Arabidopsis thaliana: one gene and its partners. The protein of the gene in region 3 interacts with the protein of the main gene of each other region in a pairwise test. Each region holds a gene or a part of one and is shown on either strand. Other genes may lie near its edges. The genes, in order: AT1G76590, AT5G26749 and FBH4.

The links.
Region 1: the proteins of FBH4 (region 3) and AT1G76590 interact in a two-hybrid assay, tested with the Arabidopsis thaliana proteins (one large-scale study listed by BioGRID).
Region 2: the proteins of FBH4 (region 3) and AT5G26749 interact in a two-hybrid assay, tested with the Arabidopsis thaliana proteins (one large-scale study listed by BioGRID).

Annotation. Positions count from the first base shown.
Region 1 is NC_003070.9:28,738,569-28,742,324, forward strand, and holds AT1G76590 (PLATZ transcription factor family protein), read left to right. Parts: upstream 1-1,971; 5' UTR 1,972-2,306; coding exon 2,307-2,309; intron 2,310-2,403; coding exon 2,404-2,613; intron 2,614-2,699; coding exon 2,700-2,915; intron 2,916-3,017; coding exon 3,018-3,326; 3' UTR 3,327-3,663; downstream 3,664-3,756.
Region 2 is NC_003076.8:9,397,459-9,401,214, forward strand, and holds AT5G26749 (C2H2 and C2HC zinc fingers superfamily protein), read right to left. Parts: upstream 1,810-3,756; 5' UTR 1,782-1,809; coding exon 1,649-1,781; intron 1,565-1,648; coding exon 1,443-1,564; intron 1,296-1,442; coding exon 1,232-1,295; intron 1,101-1,231; coding exon 1,029-1,100; intron 937-1,028; coding exon 827-936; 3' UTR 557-826; downstream 1-556. Other genes in the region: SK 11 (shaggy-related kinase 11), read right to left, coding at 2,124-2,206, 2,309-2,411, 2,526-2,609, 2,711-2,806, 2,906-2,956, 3,044-3,184, 3,272-3,328, 3,425-3,499 and 1 more.
Region 3 is NC_003071.7:17,611,449-17,615,204, forward strand, and holds FBH4 (basic helix-loop-helix (bHLH) DNA-binding superfamily protein), read right to left. Parts: upstream 2,144-3,756; 5' UTR 1,716-2,143; coding exon 1,268-1,715; intron 1,004-1,267; coding exon 747-1,003; intron 641-746; coding exon 461-640; coding exon of another isoform or gene 443-460; exon of another isoform or gene 348-442; coding exon 282-347; intron 198-281; coding exon 66-197; downstream 1-65.

The DNA of each region.
Region 1 (3,756 bases), on a different chromosome or scaffold from region 3:
GGATCTTGGACATTGCAGAGATGGAATCACTCACTGGTCTTTGGTGAGCCAGAGAGTACAGAGAAACTGGTTCAGGTCAGAGCAGACATAGCTTCAACACAACACCCAAGTTTTTATATATTTGGCTAATTATGTTTTATTCTTGCATATGTTAATTTCCCATTCTCCCTTAATTACAGTTTTTAGTTGCTTAACACAAAAGCTGTTGCTATTTTACTGAAGCTGTTTTCTCCTGTGTGTTTATTGTATCTCTGTAGAGTTGTGAACGTAGTTGAACATTGTTGTAAAATTGTAATGTAATACCTTTTTGGTTAATCCTACGTAAAAGTAGTATTAGCCACTACTTGCTAAACATTTTAAAGGGACATCTTAAAAAGTGAAGATGATTCTTCACAAATAAACCACAACGGTCACGTGAGTCTCGTGCTATTGACTACTATTGTTGAGGTCGGTCAACAGTGCATTGCCCCATCTTTACCTTCTTCTTCCCACATTTGTTTGGGATATTTTTCAATTTACTCACTTTATGAATACAAACAAAACAATAAAACTAATCTCTTTTGTGTGTAGTTGAAAGAGATAAGATCGCAGAAAAGAAGACGATGATTCGTCGACTTTTCTCCCAACATTTTGAACAATTAGTTGTTATGTGTAATTTTCTATAGATAGCTACTATCTGATTACGTGGATCACACTTCTCTTTTTATTATTATCTCTTTAGGTTTCTTATCCCATATAATATGATATCAGGTCTCTTTCTCGAGTAATACATTATATATCTATGTTGATTATTTACTACTTGTCATTTAAGATAAGATACTTAAAAATACTTGTTATTGGATTTTGCCGGAAGACTTAACTTTCAAACTCTATTATATGTAGAAGATAGCGGACTGAAAAATACGTCGAAGACAGATACTTCTATTGCATAATTTTTGGGTAGGGACTAGAAAACTTACTCGTAGTTTCGACATATCATCCGCAATCTCAAATTAATTGCAAACTTTTTGATCATATCTATTGAAACTATCTTTCTAGCTTCATTAATTCGTTACCAGCCCCCAATATAAGCTATCAAGTATGAATATTAAGATGGATTTAACGGTGATAATAGTAGTATGTACAGTTTCTTTTGTCAACAGCTGATAAAAAAAATGAAAGCTTCTAACAGTTTGAGCCTAAAGAGATCATATATGTGAACAGTTTCACACACACATAAGCCGTACAACTAATATAGATATCACTTTGACCGTAAAAATCTAACAGTTTAGATCACACACACACAATCTTGAAACTAGTTTAAAGCACTTTCAGCGAAAAGTACTCACTAGATGATAAGAACTCTTTGGCACGTAACAGACGCTTTCGAACCCTACGATTTCAAGAGGTGGCTTATGTACGGTCCACTCAACTTCTTCATCCGACGGTCTAAGATTGGTCATGTGGGTTGAACTACCAAAAGGGCCAAAAGCGTGAGCCACGTTACATTATAAAAGATTTTGTCTTTTTAATCCAACGGTTCACACCAGAATCTCCAATTCGGTTCTGTCTCCTCTCGTGTCGGTCCATCTCTCTGGCTCTTCACCTCTAGCCACGTGTTTCTAATTTTGACCTTTTAAAATTTTAAGAAAAAAACAAATTATTTCTTGTAGCTAAAATTTAGCATCCAAATTCCAAACTCAGAGTTCTCTTCTATGGCCGTATGATACTTCCAATAATCCGTATGTATGTGAATATCATAATCTATCACAAACATAATGAATAGTAGTAGATATTAAGACAATCAAATTTGGTAGAAAAAATATCTTCCTACGTTGGGAATTATGTAGGACCGAATAATATAGTCGGCTAATTCGATATTTTGTCGCGAACCACGACATAAAATTATTTATCATCATTTGTGAACAATAATGATTCAAAATTATCAATAACACCACCTTTTTTTTTTAAGTTCCTTTACTTCTGGGGTCTCTAGAGACCCACACATGTGCACAAAATATACGTGTGTCTCTCATAGACTTTAAAGCAAAATTAGAGAACACTTATTTTTAGCCAAAAAAAGTAATTAAAGAAAAAACTATATAAAAACAGTTTAAAAAGGGGATGATATTAAATGATTTTCATGTGAATTATAAAACGTATTGAGTATTATCGTGACCGACTTCAAAAAACAAGAAAAACCTCAACTTCTCTTTTTCAGCTATAGCCGCCGCCTCCTCCCACTAAACTCAAATCCTCTCATAGTCTTTTCAATCAAATCTGCTCTTCTTCACTGTTGAAGCTGGCTATCAAAACTCACAATAACTATGGTGATTGATTGATTCTCTTTCTTACTTAACTCTGTTTTAGTTTCTTTGCAAATTCTTATATTAACCATTTGGAACTGGTCTAAACATTCTTCAGGGACCGATGATGATGAGAGCAGAAGAAGATAACTACAATCTAAATCCTCCACCATGGCTAATCCCAATGCTAAGAGCAAACTACTTCATCCCTTGTTCAATCCACGCCGCTTCCAACAAAAGCGAGTGCAACATGTTCTGTCTTGACTGTTCTTCTGAGGCCTTTTGCTCTTACTGTTTGCTCAATCACAGAAACCATCGTGTCCTCCAGGTTCTTTCATCAACTTCAAATCATTTTTTTCTCTCTTACCAATTCACCCAACAGAGTTAAGAAAATGGGATTTTCATTACTTGCAGATACGGAGATCATCGTACCACAACGTTGTGAGAGTAAACGAGATTCAGAAGTACATAGACATATCTTGTGTTCAGACATATATAATCAACAGCGCAAGGATCGTTTTCTTGAACGAACGTCCTCAGCCAAGAATCGGCAAAGGAGTCACCAATACTTGTGAAATCTGTTGCAGAAGCCTTCTCGATTCTTTCCGTTTCTGCTCTCTCGGTTGCAAAGTAACTCTTCTTTCCTCTGTTTTCCTCTGTTTTGAATGAATATCTGAATTTGCTCTGTATAGTTGAAATGACCATATTGCCCTTTTGTTTGGTTTATTTCAGCTTGGAGGAATGAAGCGTGATCCAAGTCTAACCTTCTCTTTGAGAGGGAAGCATGGAAGAGAGTACGAAGGTGAGTGGGAATCTGATGAAGCGACTACACCAACTAAGATACGCAAGACATGTGCTTTCAACCGTCTGATGAGTGGTCTTTCCATCTCCACCGTTAAATGTGATTACTTGTCAGGAGATCAACCGTCTTCGAGCTCCGGTGATGAGAGCGGTTTTAAACTTTCTCCGGGGACACCGCCGATATATAATCACCGGAATTCAAGTAGACGGAAGGGCGTCCCACACCGTGCTCCTTTCTAAAATTAATACTAACGGAAGCTAATTATATAGTGTAGATTATAGAAAATGTGGTTGTTATGTTGTAACTAAATGGTTAGTAGTTTTTAACCTTTTGAGCTAGGAATATACATATTGTAAGACATATTACTTACAGGTATTGTTTGGTTTTTCTTTTTATAGTACATATAGAAATTAGGTATATACTGTACTCAAAGGGATTGAAATATGTTTTCATATAGTTTTTTTGCTGTAAATATACGTTTGAAGGAGGTATGTTTCTTCAACTTGTTTGTATCGTATACTGTGTACTATCTTCACAATAAAATAGCAAATATGATAACTAGGATTTTTAACTGAAGCGCTAATATTCGAAGAACTAAATTGTCAATGAGAATGATACAGACGAATAACGAGATTTAAAATAAGAAACTGTCGATCAAGACATGTATTA
Region 2 (3,756 bases), on a different chromosome or scaffold from region 3:
AAATCTTAAACCTAAACCGACATATAAGTAATTATAATACGCTAATCAAACTCTTCTTTATAAACTCAAACTATTTACTTTGTTCATAATTAAAATAAAAAATAAACTAAAACCCTCCATTATAAACCTAAAAACCAATATATAAATTTGAAATATTAACTAATAAATCATAACCTATCTTTTATAAACTCAAACCAACATGCTCGACTAAATTACTCTTAGGAGATTCGAAGATATTTCTCTCAACAATAAAGAGTTTAAAATTAGTTCTATTTTATGGAGTTGAAGAAATGAAAATGAAGTTAATAATTTAAATATTTGATTCTGAACAATCTGATTTTTCTTTTAGCCAACTTATACTCTGTTTCTCAATAATGTATTTTCTAGGGAAAAAATTGTTCCAACTTTGTAATTAATCTACAGCCTTAGGAATTGCTCCAACTTTGTCAAATATTTTGATAGTTTGGCTTGGGAAGTCTTGTTTAGCACATGGCCAGGAAGCGGATAGCGAATTAGCGATATCCTATCATCACGCAATGAATAGGGACGAGCCAACGAAATTTAAAGAATTTTATCAGAATATCGCACAGTATGTTAAATTGCAAATTTGCCATGTCCAAACTCCGAACAATGTCTCTAAAGTTGACGACAAATTGAGTAACAAGACGACAATTTGGTTGACATTCTTCCAACCTCGAGTCTGAAAAGAGACAAGCTTGTGGCTAAAAGCTTGGTAATGGCAGAGCACAACGAGACAAAGATTAGTCTTTTCCTTTCAAGTAGAATCATCAATGTTGAAACTGAGCATTATTCAGAGAATTTATATCTATCCCCAGTCTATGAAGGGAAGCTGAGGATAGCCTTGCTCAGGAGGCGGTTTTAGCGATGGCGGAAGATCAAACCAACCTGTTCCTGGTCTCCCACTAACAAAATCACCTGTTTTAGACAATTCAAACTTCCAACATCAGATTTTCTATAAATGCTTAAATATTAGAGAACTTGAATGACGAAAAAACAAGAACGCATACGGTTTAAAGTACTTCCTTGGATGTGTTGTTGGTTAAGCATGTCAACACGAAGTTGTGTATTATTTGTGAATCCTGCATTTGAATTCAACAAGAGGATGATGTTTTAAGCAAATCTTGCGCATAGTAGAGACTTCTTTAAAGCTTTAAGTAGCCTAAAAGAGACCAAATCACTGAAGTCAAAAATCAACAGGTTTTGACCTAACCTGTGCTTCCTGTATTGTTGTTAGGATGGAAGTATCTGCAAGAATCTCCAAATGGGCAAAAATTCTGCAAAACCCATTAAGAAAGGAACAGACTTTACTTGGAAGATTACATACATACACACATATGCAATGAATTTTTTTGCAGAATCAAACAAAGCAATGTAAAATGTGTGATTCCACCAGAATATAAACGAAAAGGACAAGACTTTACACATCCAGAGATTGCTAGGAATGATGAACATAGCGAAACAAAATCAATCCGACGTACCGAGGTAATGAATCGATTGCAGAGACCTTTCGTCGCAAAATTGGAGACTTGTGGATTAACAAGATCTAAGAATTTCGTATTAAAAGAAACAGAGATGTTAAAAATCGTTCCTTTAAGAAACAGAGAGAAAAAAGAGAGAAGAGAGATACCTGAGGAAGAAGAACTGTACCAAAGGGCTTTAGCTCGAAGATGAGGTTTGCTTTGAAGATGGCGTTTTCTAGCGACTTGAGTGTCTTGAAACTCTTTCTCGCAATAATCACAGTAATATTTCCCCGACGGCATCTTCCGGCGATGACGACGACGACTCGTAGAATCAAAAAGTTTTGGCTTTTATTAGTTTTAGGCGCGTGAGGATACTTGTATTTGCTACAGTGACTTTTAGGGTCTTTGTTTGATGATGTTGCAGAGGAAGAAGAAGATACAAAAGCAGAAGTAGCAAACTCTTTATCTAGATAAAAAATCTTGGTGGGCTTTTACATTATGAACCAACCAACCATAGTAATAACTCTTTTTTTCTCTACTCATACAACAAACAAAGGGTGCATATCAGTTTGTGACATATTGATACATAGAGAGGTAATTTATAAGAAGTGTTTGTTGTGTTCATGCTACATTAAGAGGAAATCACAAACCGAGCCAAGGACACTGCTTCCTTGCATGCTCAGGTACTAACTTAGCTACCATCTCCAATGGTACACCTTTCAGCTCTGTTTCACAACAATTACAGGTATAGCTTTAGTAAGGTAAAACTTTGATGATTTTACAGGTAAGTTGGAGATAAACACCATTAGGAAAGGGAGATGTTGTACCGTGAGGCTTGAAGTTGAAAAGCGGTGGAAGGAAACGTCCATTAGGTAGACGTGCGTTTGGGTCTCTTAACTCATCAAAGAATGGGTGGACTAATGTGTCGAGCTGTGATCAGGTTTACGATTCAAGTAAAAGCAAGTCAGACAAAAGAAAAATAGGAAATGAAAGGACCATCGAGAAGATTCACAGAAGAATGTTGAATTTGTAAGTAATACTCACAGCGGCACTTCGTAGATTAGGAGAGTATTGAAGAAGTCTTGAGACCAAATCAACAGCTTCTGGAGGCATGCGTTTGTGGAAAATCTGTGAATATATTATGACGAGTAGATATTGTCACATTGACTGTAACTGCTACTGAATAACACATTGACAAGTTGATTTGATGAATATAAGTTTATTTCTACCTTGTGCCATGGATGAGCTTTAATCTGAGGGAATTTGAATTCCGTGTAGTTTGGGTTCATGCACTTGATTTCTTCTCTAGTAGGCGTTCCCAAGACCTACCCCAAAGCATAACAAAAAACATTACATCAAATCTTCTCTCAGTATTATTGAAAACAAGAACTTGTTATCAAAGTGAACAAGTGCAAAGCTTATACCTTGATAATCTCTACAAGTTGATCAACACCGCTCTCACCAGGGAACAAGGGCTGTCATGAGCAGAGAATAGAGTTTGTCAATCACAAAATTCCAGGTTAAGTAGAACAAAAATGTTTGAATAAGATTTAATGCATTACCTGTCCAAGCAATAGTTCAGCTAGAACACATCCTGCAGACCAGACATCAATGGCTGTCGTATACTCGGTTGCTCCAAAAATAAGTTCAGGTGCTCTGTAATACCTCGAGCAGATGTAGGAAATGTTTGGTTCTCCTTTTACCTGTTTTCAGATATTACAATGATCAACAAGATTGAATCTAACTTTTTCCAAGAAACAAAGTACCCGGAAGAGGTTTATCAAACTCACCAATACTTTTGCACTTCCAAAATCACATAGCTTTACTTGATGAGTGTGCGGATTTACCTGTTCCATTACAGGTGAAAAAAGTAGCATTAGACAATGAAGAAAAGTATATTCCCGGGTATACTGTGAGCTCCTGTTTATTTAACTTGTACATACCAACAAGTTTTGAGGTTTTATGTCACGATGACACACACCAATGCATCGGTGAATGTAAGATAAGGCTCTAAAAATCTGCCAAACATAGAGAAATCCGATAAGAGATCCAAAACATAACTCTAAATCTAACAGAAATGTAATAATTGATACCTGATAAGTGTAAAGTTTGACGTATATAAGAGGCATTCTCTGATTCAGTTTGTTGTAGTGTTTGATAACACGATGAACAGTTTCTGGAACGTACTCAAGAACAAGATTGAGGTAAAGCTCATCTTTTTCAGTGGTTGAGAAGAAACAATGTTTCAGAGACACAACATTAGGATGGTCAAGTA
Region 3 (3,756 bases):
GTTCATACACTTACAGTTAGCTCTGTTGTCGTTTAAAATCTGTGTAAAACCAACAGAAGACTAAATCAATTCAACAGAAGACTAAACAGGCCCCTTTGTTTTTTTTCCACAATGATCAGGAACTTTACCTTATACTGTCTTTGTAAATCTTTGATGTAATCCACAGCTAAATCCAACATATCCGAAGTGTTGGTTTGCTGTTAAAACATAAAGAAAACAACATCATTTAACAATTTGTTTATGATCAAAAGTCATTACAAGGAAGTTCCTGAAAACTGTACCTTGTCCATGTTAGGAACAAGCTCTTGTAACTTCCTCATTCGCTCGCTTATCCGCGTTCTTCTTACCTGACACAATTGACAAGATTTCTTAGGAAAGGCTTTCTGAAAACAAACTAGATTCTGCTTCAAATGGACTTCCATTGATATATGTAAAGATGGCCTTAACTAGGTGAAGTTACCCGTTCAGCGATGCTTCGAGGATGTGTAGCGCAACCACGTTTGGCTCTGATTTTACAAGGAACAGAATCTTGTAGCTGAAGATACTTATCCACTGAAACCATGTCCGAGGCTGTCGATGATGACTTTGGTAGGCTCAAATGATGCGACAGTAACTGCATACGATTCCCGGACTCTCCGTTCTGTAGAAACCCATCAAAAACATCATTAGAAACCACTCCAAGAAATCAACTCCACTTTCAGCTACTGATCAATAACCAAAACAAACCGGTTAGATAACCGAGTTACCTGAGCTCCGAGAAACAATTTTCCATCGTCCTCGGCTTCTCTTTTAAGTGAGGATAAGTTATCAATAAAGCTGGATGGATCATTCCAATGGCTATATGGAAAATTAGTTTCGGGTGCGATTTCAGGTATTTGAGAAAGCATTCCAAGTGAAGAAGGTGGCCTTGAAGAGAGACTGCAATGGCGTCTTAATCCATTGGAATTAGATGGACTCTCTTCATCTTCTTCGTAATTCATCAAATTCCTCATTGAACCATAACCTGCAAATTTGTAAGTATATAGTAAACACTTATTAGATTTGTTGAGTCCAAAGTGCTTTAACTCTATGGTTGACAAAATCAAATCAGATCTTGTCTTAAAATTATTCTCAAGGAACGTAAAACATTCAAAAATCTTGAAGCAAGTGTTAAAACATTCAAAAAAGTTGAATCAAGAAGTACCAAAAACACTTCTGTTATAAATGAAAAAAATATTTCAGACTAAAAAAAGGGGGAAAAACTTTGTAGCAGAGAGCAAAACGGTACCGTTTTGGTCAGAGAGATTAGTAAACATTCCGGCTGGAGAGCTGCTTTGACGGAGAAGATTAGATTCAACTGGTTTGGTGTGATGATTATTGATACCGAGAAACTGATCCAAACCAACCGAGTTCATTATCCCTTTACTCTGCCTCGGGTAATGCGGCGGCAAACCCAGAAAACTCGACGGCTCAAGCTGCGGCGGTGGCGGCAGAGTGGCGGCGTATGAAACAGAGGTGTTCGTTAACGAAACCGGAGACTTATCCTCGAATTTAGGTGAACCCAGATCTCCGTTAACGCCATTAGAGGTCACGAATCTTGAAAGCAACCTATCGGAGTCGAAACCAATCTTGTCGTCGTCAACAAAAGCGGCGAGAACAGAGCTCGGAGCTGATCTAAAACGAAGAAGACCCGACCCGGTGGGATTCGGGTCGTAGAGATGATTATTTGAATCCATTAATCGAATCAATATGTAAAAAAAATGCAACGAAATTTCCTCTGTTTTCTCTTCTTGTAAGCTCTGTCTCGTGACGTTTCAGGAAGAACAAATTTGTAGAAAACCAAATCTTAATAGCTTTCCAACGTCAACCGTTGATATGAATATAAGCTTTTTCTTCTCCCTTGTTAAGTTCTTGTTTGTGTCACTTTTCCCGGGAAAACAAAACTTGAGCTTGAGATGTGAGCAGGTGTAGGATTTGGGAAATATAAAACCTTGAAGGGGAAGTAAAGGAGGTTTCGTCTGAAGATGAAGAAGAGAGAAAGAAGAACGGTGAAGTCTGATGAGAGGAAGAGAGAGATGAAGGTGATGATGAATATTTATCGTCTTTTTGCTTCTGAGTTTCTGCGTCCAACTTTAATTGCTGAAGATAGCGGCGGATCCAAAAGCTTTTTTACCAAAAATTTATTAAAATTGAAAAAGACGTCGTTTTAAGCCGCCTGTGAGGCTGAGTCACGGAAAATGCCTTTTCATATTTTTTTTCAAGAACAATTTTACTACTATTTCTTAAGAATATGAATTTTTCTATATAAAATGTAATTGAGAAAAGAGTAGATTTTAGATGAAAATACATACTTTATACTTGTATACAGGAAGAGCATGTGAAGTAAATTACCTACCTAATCAATTTTGACGAGTATACTGATGGACCCGTGACAAATTATTATTTCTCATCTTATAATCTACATGTATCCATAATATCATTTTATTACGATTCTTGTTTTTTTCTTTGTCTCTGTAAAATATGTGATGTTTCTACCCTAATTTATAACACACGAACAAAAATATCTGTATGTTGGGGACAATGAAATCGCTGGTAGGCCATACGATTACAATTTACAACAAGATGCACCAATCATAAATATTAGTTTCTTTTTTTTTATTGGGTCGGTAGTTTAACAACCAATGTAACAATTTAACACTAGATTCGAAATTTAACGACGTAAGGAAATAATTTTAATACGTTTTAGGGGACATGGATCTAATATGTCATGGTTACGTTACTTCAAATTTGTTTTGTTTAAGTACTCATTATTCAGGAACCAATAATGATGTTAGAGTACTTCATTCATAGTCAGCAATTGTACTGACAAAATCTAATATCCATTCGCATGGTACAACTTAGAATTTAAGAATTAAAGATTGTCCCATCAGAGTATAAAAGTCAGAAGTTAGATGTTAATATAGTTAGACACGAAAACGTACTTGAAATAGAAAGAAAGAAAATTGTCGGAAGTACAGTTTGTTTGTAATAAAAGAGAGATCAAAACTGTTTGAACTTTTTAACCAATATTTACGTACGTACGTAGCTTTCCAAATCCGATTTTAAGGTTCACGGAACCTATACAGTGTACAGCTTACGACACGATCGTGACGGAGGACGTTGACGCCGTTATCACCCATTGGGAACGTAAGTTGGCGACTACTATAATCTGTGTGACATACGGTACACCTGCATGAAAAAGTAAGATTTGAAACTAAACTCTAAAACCTTAGTGGTCGATGGATTATACAGTGACGTGACTCTATGTGAACGATATACACCAGATTACGTCTCCTCTAAATCTCTTTAAATCTTATCTTAGTTTAAACTTTAATAATTCACGAGCGCCGTCTTTTTAAAATCTAAATCCAATAAAGCGACTTGTTCTCTATGGAGTTTTTAGCTATTCAGCCCTTTAATGGAAATTGATTAATTTTTATATTTTCAAAAACCTATTCGTATCGTATCAGTCTGAATTTTTAGCTTTTAGTACAATGTAAGAATTGAAAAAAGAAACCGAACCATTGAGAAGATTGGGGTGGTGAATTTGCTTTGAATGTGAATTTATTCTCTATGGAGTTATTAGCTGTTTCATTCCCTTTTTTATATGGGGACTACGGTTTATGTGCCTGAGGCTCTATATATATTGCATATAGATTGATGACATTGACATAGGCTAAGCTACATAGTCTTAAAACTTCGAGCTGTTTAATAATTAATCAACAAGAAGACAAAATT